Arabidopsis thaliana: one gene and its partners. The protein of the gene in region 4 interacts with the protein of the main gene of each other region in a pairwise test. Each region holds a gene or a part of one and is shown on either strand. Other genes may lie near its edges.

Evidence for each region.
Region 1: the proteins of PRA1.B6 (region 4) and ATFP8 interact in a two-hybrid assay, tested with the Arabidopsis thaliana proteins (one large-scale study listed by BioGRID).
Region 2: the proteins of PRA1.B6 (region 4) and NodGS interact in a two-hybrid assay, tested with the Arabidopsis thaliana proteins (one large-scale study listed by BioGRID).
Region 3: the proteins of PRA1.B6 (region 4) and RABE1c interact in a two-hybrid assay, tested with the Arabidopsis thaliana proteins (one large-scale study listed by BioGRID).

What each region holds. Positions count from the first base shown.
Region 1 is NC_003074.8:3,708,629-3,713,388, forward strand, and holds ATFP8 (Ras-related small GTP-binding family protein), read right to left. Parts: upstream 2,990-4,760; 5' UTR 2,770-2,989; coding exon 2,756-2,769; intron 2,675-2,755; coding exon 2,602-2,674; intron 2,490-2,601; coding exon 2,442-2,489; intron 2,358-2,441; coding exon 2,310-2,357; intron 2,237-2,309; coding exon 2,165-2,236; intron 1,973-2,164; coding exon 1,817-1,972; intron 1,484-1,816; coding exon 1,380-1,483; intron 965-1,379; coding exon 862-964; 3' UTR 503-861; downstream 1-502. Other genes in the region: AT3G11720 (Polyketide cyclase/dehydrase and lipid transport superfamily protein), read right to left, coding at 53-93; AT3G11740 (LURP-one-like protein (DUF567)), read left to right, coding at 3,799-4,008, 4,284-4,514, 4,618-4,760. UniProt on the Arabidopsis thaliana protein: Protein transport. Regulator of membrane traffic from the Golgi apparatus towards the endoplasmic reticulum (ER).
Region 2 is NC_003074.8:19,705,126-19,711,982, forward strand, and holds NodGS (nodulin/glutamine synthase-like protein), read left to right. Parts: upstream 1-1,694; 5' UTR 1,695-1,942; coding exon 1,943-2,104; intron 2,105-2,308; coding exon 2,309-2,658; intron 2,659-2,746; coding exon 2,747-2,862; intron 2,863-2,939; coding exon 2,940-3,045; intron 3,046-3,187; coding exon 3,188-3,344; intron 3,345-3,416; coding exon 3,417-3,512; intron 3,513-3,578; coding exon 3,579-3,627; intron 3,628-3,756; coding exon 3,757-4,028; intron 4,029-4,143; coding exon 4,144-4,316; intron 4,317-4,401; coding exon 4,402-4,522; intron 4,523-4,605; coding exon 4,606-4,658; intron 4,659-4,750; coding exon 4,751-4,880; intron 4,881-4,957; coding exon 4,958-5,103; intron 5,104-5,173; coding exon 5,174-5,362; intron 5,363-5,438; coding exon 5,439-5,671; intron 5,672-5,754; coding exon 5,755-5,897; intron 5,898-6,000; coding exon 6,001-6,063; 3' UTR 6,064-6,335; downstream 6,336-6,857. Other genes in the region: AT3G53170 (LOW protein: PPR containing protein), read right to left, coding at 1-710, 797-1,106, 1,216-1,292.
Region 3 is NC_003074.8:16,915,680-16,920,528, forward strand, and holds RABE1c (RAB GTPase homolog 8A), read left to right. Parts: upstream 1-1,847; 5' UTR 1,848-2,107; exon of another isoform or gene 2,108-2,223; 5' UTR 2,224-2,228; coding exon 2,229-2,301; intron 2,302-2,484; coding exon 2,485-2,557; intron 2,558-2,660; coding exon 2,661-2,761; intron 2,762-3,295; coding exon 3,296-3,361; intron 3,362-3,463; coding exon 3,464-3,561; intron 3,562-3,647; coding exon 3,648-3,710; intron 3,711-3,800; coding exon 3,801-3,893; intron 3,894-3,977; coding exon 3,978-4,061; 3' UTR 4,062-4,339; downstream 4,340-4,849. Other genes in the region: AT3G46050 (Galactose oxidase/kelch repeat superfamily protein), read left to right, coding at 393-1,505; AT3G46070 (C2H2-type zinc finger family protein), read right to left, coding at 4,766-4,849. UniProt on the Arabidopsis thaliana protein: Involved in membrane trafficking from the Golgi to the plasma membrane.
Region 4 is NC_003076.8:2,204,105-2,207,428, forward strand, and holds PRA1.B6 (prenylated RAB acceptor 1.B6), read left to right. Parts: upstream 1-1,895; 5' UTR 1,896-2,016; coding exon 2,017-2,667; 3' UTR 2,668-2,824; downstream 2,825-3,324. Other genes in the region: WRKY26 (WRKY DNA-binding protein 26), read left to right, coding at 209-361, 504-629, 709-1,061, 1,159-1,287, 1,375-1,543; SNX2b (sorting nexin 2B), read right to left, coding at 2,961-3,041. UniProt on the Arabidopsis thaliana protein: May be involved in both secretory and endocytic intracellular trafficking in the endosomal/prevacuolar compartments.

The DNA of each region.
Region 1 (4,760 bases), on a different chromosome or scaffold from region 4:
ACCAATAATAATAAGAATTGGATTTGACAAAGTTTGAGAGTCTGTGTCAGACTTTATTTTAGAGGGACCAGGTCGGTTAACTGTCGTTGTCATGAGATCTTTCCTGTCTGTCTTTTTATCATTCAAACAAAAAAAAATGAATTTATAAAACTTAAACACAAACAAATAAGATCACTTTTGATTTATTTTATTTTTTAAATAAGGATGTGCAGGAATGAGATTTTCTTCTAAAATTGTGGGAGTAAATGAATGAATCTAGGTATGATTGATTTCATCAAAATCAGAAAACTGATTGTTTCTAGAAAAACATGCATTTGGGGTATTTTGAAACCACATGAGTATATGATGAGTTATTATAAACTAGAATTGCGTTGTAAACGAAATAGAACAAATCTTCTTTTGGAAATCCGTATACTTTAGCGTAAGAAAATGGAAGAATTTGATTTGGACTCGTATCTTTGAAGTATATATAATTCAGCATTTACATTATTGAGATTTATCTCTCATATGTTGTTTTTGCTTTTCCTCATTCTATGGACTTAGCTGCAAGTTTTAAATATCTATGGTAATGAACATGGTCCAGCCTATACAGCAACGAATATCTATCACTATTTTTAATATATATACACAATCAAAATTCAAAACCATGAGTTGCTTGCATATCCCTGTGTGGTCAAAGTCAAGACTGAACTATATTAAAGAGAAGTATCTTGCAACTAACACCATAGCTTATTCAAGACACAGCGACATGGAATATTACATTTCTTAGTTGTTTTAAACAGCCATTGGTTTTCACAACACTTAGTTAAAAAGGAAGTAAAAAAAGAGTCTCAGATAGTTTTGATTAAAACATTTTTTAAACTACTGACCGCAGCAACCGCCATTGTTCTGTTGGATTGGCTGACCTTTCATTTGGACAGTTCCAGGACCAGATGTCTTGTTTGCATTCGTTTGGCTTCCCATTCTGCAAAGAAAATGAGTTACGATATGATTAGACTCAATTCTCCATGTTACATAAACTAGACTGAATCAGCAAATGTCGATACAAGATATCAACCATATGGAAAATCTATCAACAGAAGTTAAGTACACAAGCTTGAGGAAGCTACAAGGATACAGCAGTTAGTTTGTTGATTTGCTTTCCATTAGTCATCAAGTCTAGAATAGCACACTTCGGATTTGAAACTTTACATGAATAGTTTATTTCATGAAAACAGTGGAGAATCAAGATGCTTTGCAGCAGAAAAAAACACAGAGAATGATTTGATGTATATAATGGTGATCAAGGAATATAGTAATAGAACAAGTTTACTAAACCTAATCTATGTTAAATCTTCGCAGAAAAAATTATGGCGAAAGATTAAAGATAGTGAACATACTTCTTTTTTATCTCGCCAGCAATAGTTAAGAATGCCTGTTCAACGTTAATAGAATCCTTGGCACTGGTCTCAAGAAAGGGAATTCCAAGCTCATCTGCTAAGGCCTGCAGTGATTTTGAGTAGATGAAATGTAAGAAAACCAATTCACAGTTGTATCAGGAGTAACAGCTGCTGCAAAAATAAGCAATTTCTACTCGGTGGATTCAGATCATCTAGCTTTGGGAATTTGGTCAGAGATCATCTACATTCATAGCCGTAAATTCTGGTATAACAATCTCAATGGTTGTAATATCATCACATGGTTAAAGATATGCGAAACCATGAAATGATCAAATGAGGAAAGGGGAAAGTACCATGCAAAGGATGTTATGCATAAGATAGAAGCAAAATCATAAATGGAAAAATTGCTGGGAACTTAACTAGGGATGTGAGCTTACCCTTCCAGTTTCGGTGGAAACAACTTTGCTTTCAACCATATCATTCTTGTTACCGATTAAAAGCTTGCAAACACTCTCATTGGCATATCTATCGATCTCACTCAACCACTGCTTCACATTGTTGAAGCTTTCCATCTCAGTACAGTCATAAACAATCTGTTGCAATTATCATCATTAAGGTTCATCACTTAAAGGGTGGATTACAACATTAAAATGATTCATATTCCAACATTACAATACCAATCTCAGACTAAACCACTTAAAATGAGAAATGGAAATAGGGACATAACACTAGTCTAGGTAAGCCAAAAAAAAGCAAGTAAGAAAGCGAATATAAAGATTGCTCACAATGATTCCATGAGCTCCTCTGTAATAGCTGCTAGTGATGGTCCTGAAACGCTCCTGTCCAGCAGTATCCCACTAAAAGAGAGCAGCAACAGTAAAATTGAGTAAACACAATCATCCAAAACATATTATATAATTGAAAACTCACAATTTGCAGCTTAATCGTCTTCCCATCCTGCTCAATCGTCCTAATTTTCTGCAAAACCAACCACATTATAAGTAAGTTTGGGATAAAACAATCTCGATCATGTATGTAAACAAGGTCAAAGAATGAACTTACGAAGTCAACACCAATGGTGCTTATGTAGCTGTCAATGTAAGCATCATCCTAGAAATAGCAACAAATCCCAAAATCACGAAACAGTACAAAAGAAGAAACCTAACACGAGCTAATTCTCGACGACGGAATCAATTAAGAATCAAAATCAAGTCAAACTCACAGCGAATCGGAGAAGAAGACACGATTTTCCAACAGAGGAGTCACCGATCAACAAAAGCTTGAACAGATAATCGCTACAACAACAAAAAATCGAAATCGGTGTGAGTAAAATCGAAAACGAAAGAATGGCTCTCAAGGAGGAGAGAAACACTTACTACTCGTTGCTCATGATTTAGCTGAAGACTGCGTTTCCGAGATTTGATTTTCCAAGATGAGAACAACTTTCCGGGAAAAAGCTCTTTTTCTCTATAATATAAGAAACAAAAAAAAAGAGAGGTTTGGGTTTAGGGGGCGTGTCAATCAATTTACATGAACATTGAACCCCACGACTTCTACTGGATTTTTTTGTTCCCAGTTTTTTTAATATTTGTTTAATTCCTTGTTGTTTTTCCCGAGACAATAAAGAAGCTTTGACCTTGTCTCACTGATTTCTTTACGTGTGTGTGTCTTCTTATTTGGGCTTTTTGATAAATGGGCCGAGCTCAAAATCTTGTCTATCTAACTTAACCGTCGTTAACGTCCTGGCCCTGTTATTAAAGGTTTGGATTTTATTACTCATGTATATGTCTCAATTTTTATTTTTATTTTTTTAGAGAAGATAATTTTACATAAATTTGATTTATAATCCGTGATCAAGATGTGAGGAATTAAATATAATGAAGTATTTAAAGCGGATTAAAAAGGTATATTGAAAAAGAAAAGAAAAACTTTGATTGAATATGCATGGATTTTCCAATTTTATATGACAGTATATTTTATCAACAAAATCATTCTCTTTTTCATACTCCATTCATATCATTTTTAATTAAGTCATATTAATCCTACCAAAAGTTACCTTCTAATTTTACGTTTCTTCTAATTTCCTTTTCTGGCAAAAAAGAAGATATTTCCTCAATTTATAATATTTTTTTTCCATCAAACTATTTTTTTTTATATAACCAAAAAAAAAAAGTGTAGTAACGCTAACGTGTTTGCAGCTTGCAACTTGGCTAGCAGATTTAAAATAAGATAAGTTCTAAAAATAAACAAAACATATATAGCCAAAAACACAAAATTAAAAACACGAAGATTTGTTTCACACAATACTTGGAATATCCTAATTATAAATAACTAAAAAGATTGAGAAACGAACACAAATCTCCACCTTATACAAGAATCGTAAAAGAGAAAAAAAAAACAGAGAGAGATCTTCAAAAAGATGGCGATCGTTAGCCCTAATTTCTGTGCACCGTACCCTATCGAGTTGGGAATCGTACGGAAGGTGATGACTTTAACCGATGGTAACTTCGCCGTCACGGACGTTAACGGCAATCTCCTTTTCAAAGTCAAGGAACCTTTGTTTAGCATCAGCGACAAAAGGATTTTATTGGACGCATACGATACTCCAATCTTGACTTTGAGAGAAAATGTAAGTATACGTCTATCAACTACAATTCTTTATAACTTGCATGGAGAGGCACAATTTTTTCATGGTGATACAAAAAAAAAATTTCATTATGCAAATCATATATACACAAACATGCTCTTATAACTTGCATGGAGGTACACTTTTTCAATACGTCTATCAACTAATTGTAAATAATATCAAAATCATCATCACTCATTCGAGTATGTTAAATCGTCATAGATCATCCAATAAAATCTGATCCACAACTTTTTTTTCTTATAACATAAAAATTGTAGAAGGTGAGCTTGCATGATAGGTGGCTAGTATATAGAGGGAAGAGTACAGACCAAAGTGATCTATTATACACATTGAAACGATCTTCAATGATTCAAATAATGAAGCCAAAACTAGACATCTTTTTGGCTCATAATAAAGAAATGAAGATTTGCGACTTCCATGTTAAAGGAAGTTGGATCGACCGGTCTTGTGTCGTCTACGCCGGCAAATCTGATGCCATTGTTGCTCAGGTAATTACACTGATCAAATTGTCTGTAAATTGTATAAACCGGACTAGCTAGTTATATGATCGTGTTAATTGAGTCATTGTTGTTGTTTTGTTGTTTTTTTCAGATGCACAAGAAACATACGGCACAAAGCATATTAATTGGGAAGAGTAATTTTTCGGTTACTGTCTATCCGAATGTTGACTTTGCTTTTATAGTTTCTCTCATTGTAATCCTCGATGACATTAACCGAGAAGATTCAGAAGACTA
Region 2 (6,857 bases), on a different chromosome or scaffold from region 4:
AACGTCTCAATCACTATATTGTAAGTGACAGTCGTCAGGGAGAAGAACCTTTTCTCCATAAAATCCATAACAGAGCACATCTTCTTATACATACCAGCTTTTCCAAATGACAGGATCAGTATGTTAAATGTAGTGATATCCGGTTGCACCCCCATCAGCTGGAACCGACTATACCAGCTCTCCATCTTCCTCATGTTGCGACCATTTCCATATGACCCAATGATCGAGTTAAGCGTACAAACATCCGGAAGAGAATCTCCGTCCTCGATCATATCAGCCAGAACACTTTCCATTTCCTCAAACATTCCAGCCTTTCCATACCCATCAATAATAGTATTGTAAGTAACCGTGCTGCATCCAACTCCAAGATACGACATCTCAAGAACGATACTTTTAACCAGATCAAACCGACCCAGTTTGCAGCAACAACTGATGAGAACAGTAAAGGTGAACACATCTGGCTTGCAGTCACTAACAGATTTCATATACTCAAGTGTAGAAAACGCCTTGTCTAGAAGCTCGCTTTTGCCATAAACAGAGATAAGAGAGGTATACACATCAATGGTTGGTTTCAATCCTTCAGATAACATAACTTCGAAAAGCAAGCTGGCTTGATCAGGCTGTTTACAATTCCCAAGCACTTTAAACAGCTTTGTATAAGTTTTGCATCTTGGTTCATACCAATGCTGCTTCCTAAGAAGATTGAAAATCTATAAAGTAGAGAAACAGGAAAGTGAATTCTATCGAATCTATGTCCAAGTATCTGTAAGAATGAAGAAGGATTAAAGAGCTGTACCTTGAGAGCAGACTGCCATCGATTCTCTTTGATAGCTTCGTCAAGAGCTTCTAGAACAGCTTTTGGCCATAAAGTTAAGTACTTTTCGGAATTGGCTTTCCTCTCAATGCCCTTCACAGCAGCATCTGTTCTCAGAATCCGAGACAATTCTTTCTTAGGATCTACTTGGTGTCTTGTTGAGATCAAACCAGAATTCATTTTCTCTGTACGTTCGTTGGGGACCTTTGTCGAACACATTGTGGGCGTTATTGAAATAGTTGGTATACACCGAAAATAAACAGGGGAAGATATATGTTGCTGAACCACGCTTCTGCAAGAATGAGAAACAGAGAAAGATAGATTTAATATAAACACAACTGAAGAATTAAAGAAACGTAAAATTCAAAACAGTATGATTGTATGAAATATGAGAATGTTACCGAGAAAAACCAAGTTGTGCGATCTCATTGGCGTACGCGGAAGTAGTTCCTTGAACAGGATTTTGTATCAATGCCATCGAAGAAAAATGGTAGAAAGATAAGGTGGAGAAAAAGAAACTGCAAATTTTCTGGGTAGAAAGCAGAGCTAGAAGACGACGACGATACCGTTGTTTTTCCTTCGTTTTTTTCTTCTTCTCCGGTTTGGTGTAGCTTCTCTTCGGTTTGTAAAATATAATGAAATGGTTTTAGTTTTGATTTGGATGCCGGTTTAATTTGGATTTACAAAATTAAAAATTTAGCATTAATCAGTTTTTTCTTGTCCGGTTTAAAGGATTGGATTGATGAAGGAAGAACCAAATGGAGCTTTTTCCAATTTAATTTTGAATTCGAATTTGTTAAAACGAGATTGTCCTTGGCAAGGAACCGGAATTTGGAAAATGAAAAACCAAGAACACAGTTGAAAGTTATCCACACTAGTTAGGACACGTGGAGGCTAATGTATTTCACGTGGACACGTGCTCATCACTCTCCTCTAAACGCCGTCGTGAAGTTTAAAGGTCAGAGACATCGGCCACCGACCAAATCAGACAAGGAAAAGTCAACGATTTGATTGGATCTTCTTCACTTATGCTTTAAAACCGTTCCTGTAATAAACTGTGAAGATTGTAAGAAGATTAACACGAATCAAGAACATCGAACTGTTGACTTTAGACAGAGAGAGACGGAGATGGAGTTTAGTGAGTTAAAGGAAGCAATAGAGAAGATAGAGCTCGTTGATGCTCACGCACACAACATTGTCTCTCTTGACTCATCTTTTCCGTTCATCGGAACTTTCTCCGAGGCTGCCGGCGACGCTTTAACCTTCGCTCCTCATTCTCTCTCCTTCAAGGTACACGACGATACCAAGTGTTTTTGCTCTAGTTAGTTTTCGTTTGAATCAGATTCTAATTAATGAAAACGTTAGCTTAAAGTTTCCTAATTAGTCTCAAAAGTATTAGTTAACTAAAGTTTCGAGTGTTACTCAAAAGATGTTGACTTGTTTAGGAATCTCGTGAAGTTGGTATGAATGTTTTTGGTTGTATGAATGAAACAGAGGAACTTGAGGGAGATTGCTCAACTTTATGGCACTGAAGTATCTTTAGAAGCGGTTGAGGAACATCGTAAAACCTCGGGTTTGGATTCTTTTACTTCCAAGTGTTTTAAAGAAGCTCGAATCTCTGCTCTCCTCATTGATGATGGATTAAAGCTAGACAAGAAACATGATATTGAATGGCATAGAAACTTTGTTCCATTCGTTGGTAGAGTGTTGCGTATCGAAACTCTTGCCGAGCAAATCCTCGAAGAGGAGTGTCCTGGTGGTTATTTCTATGGTTCTGAGAGTACTGAACCGCCTGTTTGGGATTTAGATTCTTTCACCAAAACCTTTGTTGAAAGATTAAATTCATATCCTTTTATCTTTGCTTTTTTAATACACGCTTAATGATTGTGACTATACTCACTAGTATTGGTTAACCTTGACTACTTCGGTCACGCTTGTTCCAGAGATTGTTGCTTTGAAAACTATTGCTGCATATCGTAGCGGTTTGGATATTGATACTTATGTGAGTAAAGAAGTTGCTGAGAATGGCCTTGTTGAAGTCTTGCGAGGTAAGATGGTTGTGCTTGGTCTATCAAGAAGTAACATAGTTGTTGTCTGATCACCTTAAAATCTAATATTGCTGCAGCTGGAAAGCCTGTCCGCATAGGAAACAAGGGCTTGATTGACTACATCCTTACCATTAGTTTGGAGGTCGCTGTGCGTCGCGACTTGCCCTTGCAGATTCACACCGGGTATGCAAGATTTGATCAACTATATGATTGATGTTAGTAAAGTCTGATCTTTTTATCAAACAAACCTTACACAGAAACAGAAACTCATGCTCAGAGGTTTGTAGTAATGAAAATTCTCCTTTTCTTTTGTTGTTTGAGCCAGTTTTGGTGACAAGGATTTGGATTTGAGGTTGTCGAATCCTCTTCACCTTAGAACCCTTCTTGAAGACAAAAGATTTGGAAAGTGTCGTATAGTTCTTCTTCATGCAGCTTATCCATTCTCAAAGGAAGCATCCTTTCTGTCTTCAGTTTATCCTCAGGTTTTTCGTCATCCCATTTCAATTATCTGTAAAATCATGCCTAGTCATTAACTTATTTTCTTGTTCCTTAAGGTTTACCTTGATTTCGGCTTGGCGGTTCCAAAGCTTAGTGTCCATGGTATGGTTTCTTCAGTTAAAGAGCTCCTTGACTTAGCATCAATAAAGAAGGTAAAATTTATTTTACTTGCATTATCTTTGTTATTGTTCATGAGTAACCATAAGATATTATTGCAGGTTATGTTCAGCACTGATGGGTATGCATCTCCTGAGACCTACTATTTAGGTTAGCTCAAGTTTCTACCTCTTTTCTATAGTTTGTAACATACTTATATATGTTCCAATCCTGTTTCTAAGCTTTGGCACTTGAAATCGTCTTGCTTCAGTCTTGAACATAGCTCGCTGTTTTTTGCAGGTGCAAAGAAAGCACGTGAGGTTATCTTCTTAGTTCTGAGTGATGCTTGTGCCAGTGGTGATCTCTCACTCATGGAAGCTATTGATGCAGCTAAAGACATATTCTCACGAAATTCTATTGGATTTTATAAGCTTAATATAGACACAGATTCTTCTAGTCCACAAAATATAATATCTCCCAAATTGAAGATAAAGGAGCCTGATGTTCAAGAAGATAGTAGTTCTTTTGTACGCATTATTTGGGTTGATACATCTGGACAACAAAGATGCCGTGTGAGTTTTTTTTTTTTGGTTTCTTCTAAAGAAAAAACCTCTGTTTCCCACCTCAACGATTTTTCCTTAGAAGCACAAAAACTTAACTAGAATTCTGTTTATTGTATTGTTTCAGGCTGTTCAAGCGCAGCGTTTTAACAGAAGTGTGAAGAAGAACGGCGTTGGTCTGACCTTTGCATCAATGGGGATGACTTCATTTACTGATGGACCAGCAGAAGAGTCTAAATTGACAGGTGTGGGTGAGATTAGACTTGTTCCAGATCTATCAACCAAGCAGACAATACCTTGGTACTTTACTCGTGTTCATTCTCTTTGGAGTTAATTTTACAGATGTTTCTTTCTTAATTGTTTCCGTATCATATTTTATCATTAGGACGAAGCAAGAGAGCATGGTTTTAGCTGATATGCAATTGAAGCCTGGTGAAGCATGGGGGTACTGTCCACGAGAGACCTTAAGAAGGGTCGCAAAAGTTCTCAAAGATGAATTTGACTTGGTAAGAAATCTCCATATAGCCATTCTACGAAAACTTTTATTTGCTTTTTGGTTGCTTAAGCTCAAATCTTCCTTGGCTTTTAGGTAATGAACGCTGGTTTTGAGAATGAGTTTTATCTCCTCAAGAACGTTGTGCGGTATGCGACTATATATTTCTTGAATACCGGTTTCTTTGTTCAATCCAATCATTTTCACAATCTTAACACTTGTTCTGTCCATTTTTTAAAAGGGAAGGGAAAGAAGAGTATATGCCTTTTGACTTTGGTCCTTACTGTGCCACATCCTCATTCGATGCTGCATCTCCGATCTTCCATGATATTGTACCCGCACTCGAGTCCTTGAACATCGAAGTTGAACAGGTTACAAATAATTCAAAAATCCCTCATAATGATCAGTCTGCAACATGCTTCTTGACATGTATGAAATTTTTTCATAGTTTCATGCTGAATCCGGGAAAGGTCAGTTTGAAGTATCTCTCGGTCACACCATTGCATCCCATGCTGCCGACAACTTGGTCTACACACGTGAAGTTATAAGATCGGTTGCAAGGAAACAGGGATTGCTCGCAACCTTTGTTCCAAAGTATGTCAGTCTCTCCCACCAAATTATTCGTTGTAACTGCAAATTTTTAACATATGTGTTTTTTCTTCAGGTATGATTATTGTGACATTGGTTCTGGATCACATGTGCATCTAAGTCTTTGGAAAAACGGCGAAAATGTCTTCCCGGCATCTAATAACTCATCTTCTCATGGAATCTCTTCCGTTGGAGAAGAGTTCATGGCCGGAGTTCTATTTCATCTTCCATCAATCTTAGCTATTATAGCTCCACTCCCAAACAGGTAACTCGAAAACCGTACTTTTCGAGTAATTTCCTCAATTGTTATTAAAAGTTGTGTGTGTCACTTAAATTTCCAGCTACGACCGAATCCAACCTAATACATGGAGTGGAGCATTCCAATGTTGGGGCAAAGAAAACCGCGAAGCAGCGTTAAGAGCAGCTTCTCCACCAGGAACTCCTGATGGTTTAGTTACTAACTTTGAGATAAAGTCTTTTGATGGCTCTGCAAATCCTCACCTTGGTTTGGCTGTTATAATGGCTGCTGGTATTGATGGTCTCCGGCGACATCTTCAACTTCCTACTCCAATAGGTAACTAAAAACTTATGTTATTCATTCTCATGTATATGTAGTGTTAATATGAAGCTTGATCTTGAGTTGTTCGGATGGAACAGATATAAATCCGGCGGATGTGGCTGCTACATTGAACAGACTTCCGGAAACGCTCTCAGAAGCTGTTGAAGCTCTGGACAAAGACAAAGTTCTCCACGATTTGCTCGGACAAAAGCTTTTAGTTGCCATAAAAGGAGTCCGTAAGGTAACACTATAGTCTTTTAGTTTCCCATTAGATTCTCAGTGGTAACAAAGTACATTAGCACTAATCTATTGTTTTTGTCTTTTTAAATTTTTTTGTGTAACAGGCTGAGGTCGAGTATTATTCGAAGAATCCGGATGCATATAAGCAACTCATTCACCGATACTAATCCTTTGAGCATCTCTATGATGATTGTTGGATCATTTGGTTTTATTGTGGACTTTGTGTCACATGAAGGGTCGTATTTGCAAAATACTTGACATAAAGATGTGGTTCAGAAAATTAATAAACTAAATTTCATATTTCGAGACGCATGCTCATGCTGGAGTACTATTTGTATTTCTTACTTTTTCGTCCCATGCTTTCAAAAGCCTCAAGAATATACAGAGTATTTTCAATAATACGGAGTAGTTCTTAATCATTTACATTTGTCTATGAATTGAATTTGACTACTAATACTCGGAAACAAAAAAATGATTGTAGTATTAGGAGCGCAAATACCCTTTAACCATTGTTCTTTCCATGTTCTTAGTCCGGCTATTGTTATCTAGGTAGGTGCCTGATCCCTTTTTTTCAAATCTTTCTTATTCATTACTTTGACTAATTAACCTATTTAATCATATTTAATCTCCCTTTAATCTGCAAACTAAAGCACATGTTTTTTTTTATGAAAGAAAAGGTTAGTATGACATTCTTTTGGTAAATCTCATCATATTATTTATTTAATTTTAAGAAATTGGAGTTTAAAGTGTAATTAAGTTATGCTACCTAGCTAATTTCCTTAAAATATGAACGATAAGTATAGAAATTAAAGTAAAGATTAGGTTTATACGGTACGCTTATTATGCTCAAACAAGTGGACGAACAAAATCCATCTCCATGTGACTATGGAAGAGAACTTATTAATAAGTCCAAATTTTTTTCTTGCAAACTTTATGATTTCATTCACACTAGACAAATTAA
Region 3 (4,849 bases), on a different chromosome or scaffold from region 4:
ATTCGTTAGACTTGCGATTTATGAAATCAAAATCATCTTTCTTGACTTATCGTTATATGTGGCATTTACTCATTTTAGTCTCGTGCTCTTCTTGTTTGTTTTCTTAAAACATTTTAATATGTTTTTCATTTACAATGTTCATCAAAATACAAACAAATCTCTGAGGGAACTGTGAAAATTCGAAAAAGATTTTAGAAATACTGACAAAATAAGTTAAAATTCTAAGAAACAAAATTTAATAGTTTTCCTTCCAACAAGGTTTCTATGCTACATAGGTATAATTTTAGGTATTCTTCGTTAATAAATTTGAAGGAAATAACTAATAACGCACAAAAACCCTAAATCAAAAACCTAAGAAGACGTTTACCAGAAACAAAAAAACTAAGAAGACAATGACGACGAAAGAGAAGAATAAATCATCAAACTCACCGCCTCCGACGTCGTTTTCTTCGTTACCGGACGACATCGTTCTCAACTGTTTGGCTCGTGTCTCCAGATTCCATTATCCAACTCTATCCCTAGTCTGCAAGGGTTTCCGATCACTCCTAGACTCCCGTGAGCTCCACGCAACACGATCTTGCATCGGAAAAACCGAGAGTTTCCTCTACGTCTGCTTAGACCTGCATAGGAATTGCTATCCAGACTGTCCTCCACGATGGTTTATAGTTTCCCCGATTACCAAACAGAAACTGAAACCTATCCCTTCGGTTACTTGTCAATCCTCAACCGTTGTATCAATCGGTTCAAAGATTTACATAATCGGAGGCTTCGTTGATGGACATAGTAGCAGGAGATTGATAGTACTCGATTGTCCATCTCATGGATGGCGTAGACTCCCCGAGATGCGTGTACCTCGACAAAACGCAGCAGCTGATGTAATCAACGATAAGATCTACGTGATTGGAGGCTCTAGTTCCAACAATATCGAGGATTGGGGAGAGGTTTATGACCCAAAGACCCAAACTTGGGAGCCAGTATTGCCCACAACACTAGATCTTACTGTTCAAATGAGTGTGGTTCCAGGTAGCTTGGTAATGAGTGGGAAAGTTTATGACATGAATGGATTGAAGCTTAACTTTCAGAAGAATATTTGCTTGGTGGAGATAGAGAACATGATGTGCCAAACAAAGGTTTGTGAAGGGGTGTTAGTTTGGTGTGAACCAGAGGAAGATCGTGGGTGGTGTCCGGTTGATGGACTTGAAGGACTTCCCAATAGGCCAACTTCTCCTGGTTATCTTACCTCGGTGGCACATTCCGACCGAGGAAGAAGAGTAACAGTTTGGTGGGAGTCGGCTGTGTTACATCGTCTAGGTCCCAAATGGACTAAGGAATGTAAAACAGAGATTTGGTGTGCAGAGATTTCGTTTGAGAGACGCGGTGTTGGAAAGGTTTGTGGATTTGTTGAATGGTCTAAGAATGTCTTTACTAAGGATGACTACAAAACTTATAAGTTACCTGCTTCTCTTTCTGATTTCTTCTTGAATTCTACCATTGTGACATATTGATCAATGGAAGTTTATGTTAATTTTTGAGAGAGTTTTAAATTCTTTTGTGGGGATTTTGTTTAGAACATCTTGAGTATAGATTTTATGATAATGAACGAAAATACTGGTGGTGTTTATGTATCTCTAATAAATATGCAGTTGCGTAAGAACATAAACATCAACACACTTCTTATGAAAGAGTTATATATTGTTGAAAAGTATAGTTGTATAGTAGTAGTATATATTTCCAAAGATGACTTCAGATTACATTAGTATACAGTAGTAGTATTTGATACCAAATATAAAAATAAAAATTACTATAGCATTGTTTTAGTCCAGCTAATTGATTTTAAAGTAATTAATAAAAGGCCCATAAGGCTTCGTGCCTTCTTCTTTCTATATAGGCCCTTCAAAAAAGAATCCTTCTCTCTTTTTCTGCGCACTCCTTCGTTTCCAACTAACGTGCGCAGTGTATCCTATCGTGCACGCGAAGCAGACGAAGAAGAAGTAAAATAGAAGAAGCCGGGAAACAAAAGCTAAATCGGGAACTGGCGCATTTTAGTCGTCCGCCATAACCTTCGCTCTCTGATTCTTCCGATTACATCGGTTTTCTTCTCTCTCCGGTACATGATCTTCTTCTTTCCCGCAGCCGATTCATTCGATTTCTCCCTCTTTTGTTTGATCTAATTCGATTTCGATGAAACTCAGATTTTGATCTTTGAGTTTTTGTTTCCTTTAGATTCAATGGCTGCTCCACCTGCTAGAGCCAGAGCTGATTACGATTATCTCATTAAGCTTCTTTTGATTGGAGATAGCGGTACGTTGATCTGAAACCTCTCCGATGTTTTTATCGTCGATCCGTTGAAATTTGTTGAATCTGTTTGATTTCCATTGAATCGATCTATTCCACTGTGATTTTTGTTTGTGATTAGATCGTTGTGTGGATCGGTGTTTGTATTGAGAGATCTCTGTAACCTAAGGTTTTTTTTTTTTGTTGCAGGTGTTGGTAAAAGTTGTCTTCTTCTACGTTTCTCTGATGGATCTTTCACCACTAGCTTCATTACCACCATTGGGTTTGTGTTTTCTCTTTGCTTATGGAGATAAATTGAATTCTGTGATGTTTGTTTTGGATTCTGTTTTTACAGAGTCTTGTTTCTCTATTTTGCTTTGATGTAGCATTGACTTTAAGATAAGAACGATTGAGCTTGACGGTAAACGTATCAAGCTTCAGATTTGGGATACCGCTGGTCAAGAGCGGTTTCGGACTATCACCACTGGTGAGTTCATCTTTTTCATAAGAATTGCTTGCTGGATTAGTACTTAGAGCATTCACAACATCAGTAATGAATCAGATTAGATAGATTCTCGAGGAGATGAACACTTACATGTGCTATGATCTCTTGTACAATGCCACTTGACTGATTTATTTTGTTTGGCTGATTACTTTACTTGGTCTTGTATAGTTGATGTTTATGGGCTATTTTCGACACTTCATAGTTCATCTTTTCGTATAAATGTACTCACTGATCACTTTGCTTAGCATTCACCATCACAATAGAAGTCAAGTTAGAAAGATTGTCAAGATGAGATTGATGACAAACGCCTATAAGTAGTCTAAGATAGCCACTTATAGTTCTAGGTAAAGGGGATGCATTTGTGCAATGCCAATTTACTGATTTGCTCTTTTTGGCTGGTTACTTTTGTAGGTACTGTCTAGTTGATATTATTAGGATATTTAGGCAGTTTATACTGATCTGTTTCTGTTGTTTCAACACCATTTTGACGATTCTTTTTCTCTCGCATTTTCGCAGCTTATTACCGTGGGGCAATGGGCATTTTGCTGGTGTATGATGTCACAGACGAGTCATCCTTCAACAGTAAAACTCCCACCATCAAGTCTTTCACTTACTGGTTTCTATAAATCTCCTTAACCAAAATGAACATCTCTTTTACTAACACGATTCTTGACGTTATTGCAGACATTAGGAACTGGATTCGTAATATCGAACAGCATGCTTCGGATAATGTTAACAAGATCTTGGTAGGGAACAAGGCTGACATGGATGAAAGCAAGAGGGTATGAAGCACACCACCTTTATCCCTGTTCCTTATTCACGACTGATCCTAATAATAATAGCTTCTTGGTCCTGTCAAAATTTTCAGGCAGTACCTACAGCAAAGGGTCAGGCTCTTGCTGATGAGTACGGAATTAAGTTCTTCGAAACAGTAAGTCTAACAATGCTCTCAATCTTCGAAACTAGATGGGTAGTGTTTACATTGCTTACACATCTAGCTATATATGTGTTGTTGTTGCAGAGTGCCAAGACAAACCTAAACGTGGAAGAAGTTTTCTTCTCAATAGGGAGGGACATTAAGCAGAGGCTTTCAGACACCGACTCGAGGGCAGAGGTTTGTTACATCTCTCTCTTTCACATCTTTGCGTTGTTAGGTCTGAAAACGCATTGATCATTCATGTTACGTGGTCAATTGCAGCCTGCAACGATCAAGATAAGCCAAACGGACCAAGCAGCTGGAGCAGGGCAGGCCACACAGAAATCTGCATGCTGTGGAACTTAAAAAAGTTTTAAAAGTGAAGTTTAAGTCGAAAAAAGTTTGGGGGTGAAGTGAAAAACTAAGATATCGTTGGGTGCTTATGTAATTTTTTGTTTTATGCCAACAATTCTGATTCGTTCTTCTAAATTGTCCTTCCTATTTGTACGAAGGTTTAATCGAAACTTGTATTTTTCTTTTCTATTACTGATTTTTTATGACGGTGACTGAATTGTTTATGTTGGTCATCACTTCTCTCTATATATCCTCTGTTCTTAATTTTTCTCTTGCTTCCTCTTTTATCAAGTCTTTAAACATTACTTCTAATACTCGTAAACTCATCTTTGACACAACCATAAGCAATACAAAACCATAATATGTACACTGCCTGATTTATGAGTCGTAAACGTATAATTGTGTTAGCAATCCAGTGATGAAGAAACTTATCATGTTTTAGTTGCACTACAGTTACTATAGCTGACACTTATATTGTAGTTTCAACACCAGTTAAACCATTCTCATAGTTCAACAACATTCTAGGGTTAATAAAACGTGAAACCAAAATTTAGCGAACAAGAAAATAAATCTTGAATAGTATATCAGATTGTATTCAGATCATGTATTCACATCGAATAGTAAGATAAATGGATCAACAAAGACTAAAACCATGTAAAAAGTACTACTCTATGTAAGATTATCAATAAAACTAAAACCCTAACGAACATGAAAAATCAGTACATCGTTCTTCCCAACTCCAATTCCGTGTTGACAAAGCTCTCCACCGAAGTTAAGTCGAAATCCAAACACGCCACTCT
Region 4 (3,324 bases):
GGACTCCTGAAAGTGATGTGAATTCAGCCGCCTTACACAAAAAAGTCAAACATTTTGGTGTTTTGAATACACACGCTTCACACTTGGTCACAAGCTTATCTTTTATAATTGCTTGCTTTTCCTTGGAAACATCCTTTCCTTCTATCCAACTCGTAATTTAATATAGGAAGAAGAAGAAGAAGAAGAGTACCTCATACGTAAACCATTGATGGGCTCTTTTGATCGCCAAAGAGCTGTTCCGAAATTCAAAACAGCAACACCGTCACCGCTCCCTCTTTCTCCTTCGCCTTACTTCACTATGCCTCCTGGCCTTACTCCCGCCGACTTTCTCGACTCTCCTCTTCTCTTCACTTCCTCCAACGTATCTATCTATCTCCTCCAACGTTTCAAACTATGATTGTTTGTCCTTATCTTGGAATATTGAAAGAATTCAAGGTTCTTGATTTGTCCATTTCCCTTCTTCTTCTCTCATATCATCTTCTTCTTTGATCTTGAAATCACAGATTTTGCCGTCTCCTACGACAGGCACATTTCCAGCGCAATCTCTGAACTATAACAATAACGGTTTGCTCATTGACAAAAATGAAATCAAATATGAAGACACAACTCCTCCCTTGTTCCTACCATCTGTAGGATCCATTTTTGCATTTTTAGCTTCTGCTTTATTATCTCTTAAGACATTCTAGTTTTAAACTATCTCATTTTCAGATGGTAACTCAGCCTTTACCTCAACTGGATTTATTCAAATCCGAAATCATGTCGAGTAACAAAACCTCTGATGACGGCTACAATTGGCGCAAATACGGGCAGAAGCAAGTCAAAGGAAGCGAAAACCCGAGGAGTTACTTCAAATGCACGTATCCAAATTGTCTCACAAAGAAGAAAGTAGAGACGTCTCTTGTGAAGGGTCAGATGATTGAGATTGTCTATAAAGGAAGCCACAATCATCCCAAGCCCCAATCCACGAAGCGATCATCTTCCACCGCTATAGCAGCACATCAGAACAGCAGTAATGGAGACGGTAAAGACATTGGTGAAGATGAAACAGAGGCCAAGAGATGGTAATTAGCAGACTCATAATTAAGTAACTGAAACCAAAAGGATGAGGAGACAATGAGATGTCTGATTGGATTTGTTGTGAATGGCTTATAAATGCAGGAAAAGAGAAGAGAATGTGAAGGAGCCAAGAGTGGTGGTTCAGACAACAAGTGATATAGACATTCTTGACGATGGCTACAGATGGAGAAAGTATGGTCAGAAAGTCGTCAAGGGTAATCCAAATCCAAGGTGTGGTTTTATTTTTCTCTTGTCAATTCTGAATGAAAAGGAGGCTTGAAGCTTGAGCTATAAGTTAGTTAAATTTGTGATGTGCAGGAGCTATTACAAGTGCACATTTACAGGATGTTTTGTAAGGAAACACGTTGAAAGAGCATTTCAAGATCCCAAGTCAGTGATCACAACTTACGAAGGAAAACACAAACACCAAATCCCGACCCCAAGAAGAGGTCCAGTTTTAAGGTTACTTGGAAAAACAGAGACATAAAGAGCAAATGAGTTTTGGCATTTCAGCATTCCTATTGTAATCTTTCATTCATATATAGTATGTTTCCTTAATCATGCGCCTATACACACATAACTGATCAGGACTAGGCAGAGGCTAAAGTTCCAAGCTTCTCCATCATTTTGCCCCCTATGTTCACTACCGACGATAAATCTTTATTCAACTGTTTCAAGATATTAAATCAAACATACATCACACCAAGTGTTTGACATGATGATGATGGAATGGAATGGATGGTGGCAAATGATGTGATAAACACACAAAGGCATACACATAAATGTATATTACTACAAAGAGCGGAATATTTTTATGTTTCTTTAAAAAGAAAGAAAGACGCAAAAGCACATGTGATAGTAGCCGACAGTTTGAAGTAAAGCCAGCAAATCGTGAAAGCCATTTACTTTTAGATCTCTCTCTGCACTCTCTGACTTTGTCCGCAAAGTAGATCTGCTGCAATGGCTTCTCCTCTTCTCCCAACTTCGACTACTCCTGATCAACTTCCCGGCGGCGATCCACAGTTGCTGAGCTCTCTACGCGTCCTCTTGTCCCGCGTTCTAGCCACCGTCCGTCACGCTTCTGCAGATGCCAGACCCTGGGCAGAGCTCGTTGACCGGTCAGCGTTTTCCCGGCCACCATCGCTCTCGGAGGCAACGTCACGAGTAAGGAAGAACTTTTCCTATTTCCGAGCCAATTACATAACCTTAGTGGCAATCTTACTCGCCGCGTCTCTGCTCACGCACCCTTTCGCTCTCTTCCTCCTCGCATCGCTGGCCGCTTCTTGGCTTTTCCTCTACTTTTTCCGTCCGGCGGATCAGCCGTTGGTCATTGGAGGACGCACGTTCTCCGATCTTGAGACGCTAGGGATACTCTGCCTGTCCACTGTGGTGGTGATGTTCATGACCAGCGTTGGATCGCTCTTGATGTCCACTCTAGCAGTTGGGATCATGGGCGTGGCCATCCACGGAGCGTTTCGTGCTCCCGAAGACCTGTTTCTTGAAGAACAAGAAGCCATTGGATCTGGACTTTTCGCATTCTTCAACAACAATGCCTCTAATGCAGCTGCCGCTGCCATAGCCACCTCAGCAATGTCACGCGTTCGAGTCTGAGATTGTTGAAGAGACTACATTCCTACACCGCATTTCCAAAGTGTGATATTTATTCATATTGAATTGTTGTAACTTGTAACCATTCTTTTGTCATTTCTGTTTTGTTTACTTTGTTGCTGGAATTTTGAAACACAATTCATCTTACTATACACCATTAAAACGAGAGTCAGTAAAGAAGAATTTTACTAACTCTCTCTTGTTTTTTGACACCAAAGTAAAAAAGATACGACAAATTGGTTTAAGCTCAAAACCATGAATCGAAGAATAAGAATAAATTACACTGTGCTCTCATGTTAAGAGCTCTCTCTATCGTATTGCCTTGTTTCCTCAGCAACCTTTGTCCACACATTGGCGATCTTCTCTGCATATCCAACCTGCACATTCAAATACCAACAACTCTGTTTTCACACCTTTTTACATATTTTCATCTCTTTATTTCAAACATCTCACTCAGATTTCTCAGCATTCACTAGCATTGCAAGAGAGCAGATTTCACCAATTTTCAAGCATCCATTCAAATATCTCAAATCATATTCCTTTTGGTGAATCCATTTCATGAAAGAAAGTCCCCAAATCATAGCATCCCCTATAACACTCACTGACTTTTCTCTTCCATTTCAGAGCTAAAAGATCTTGCTTTACACTCTCTCGTTAATT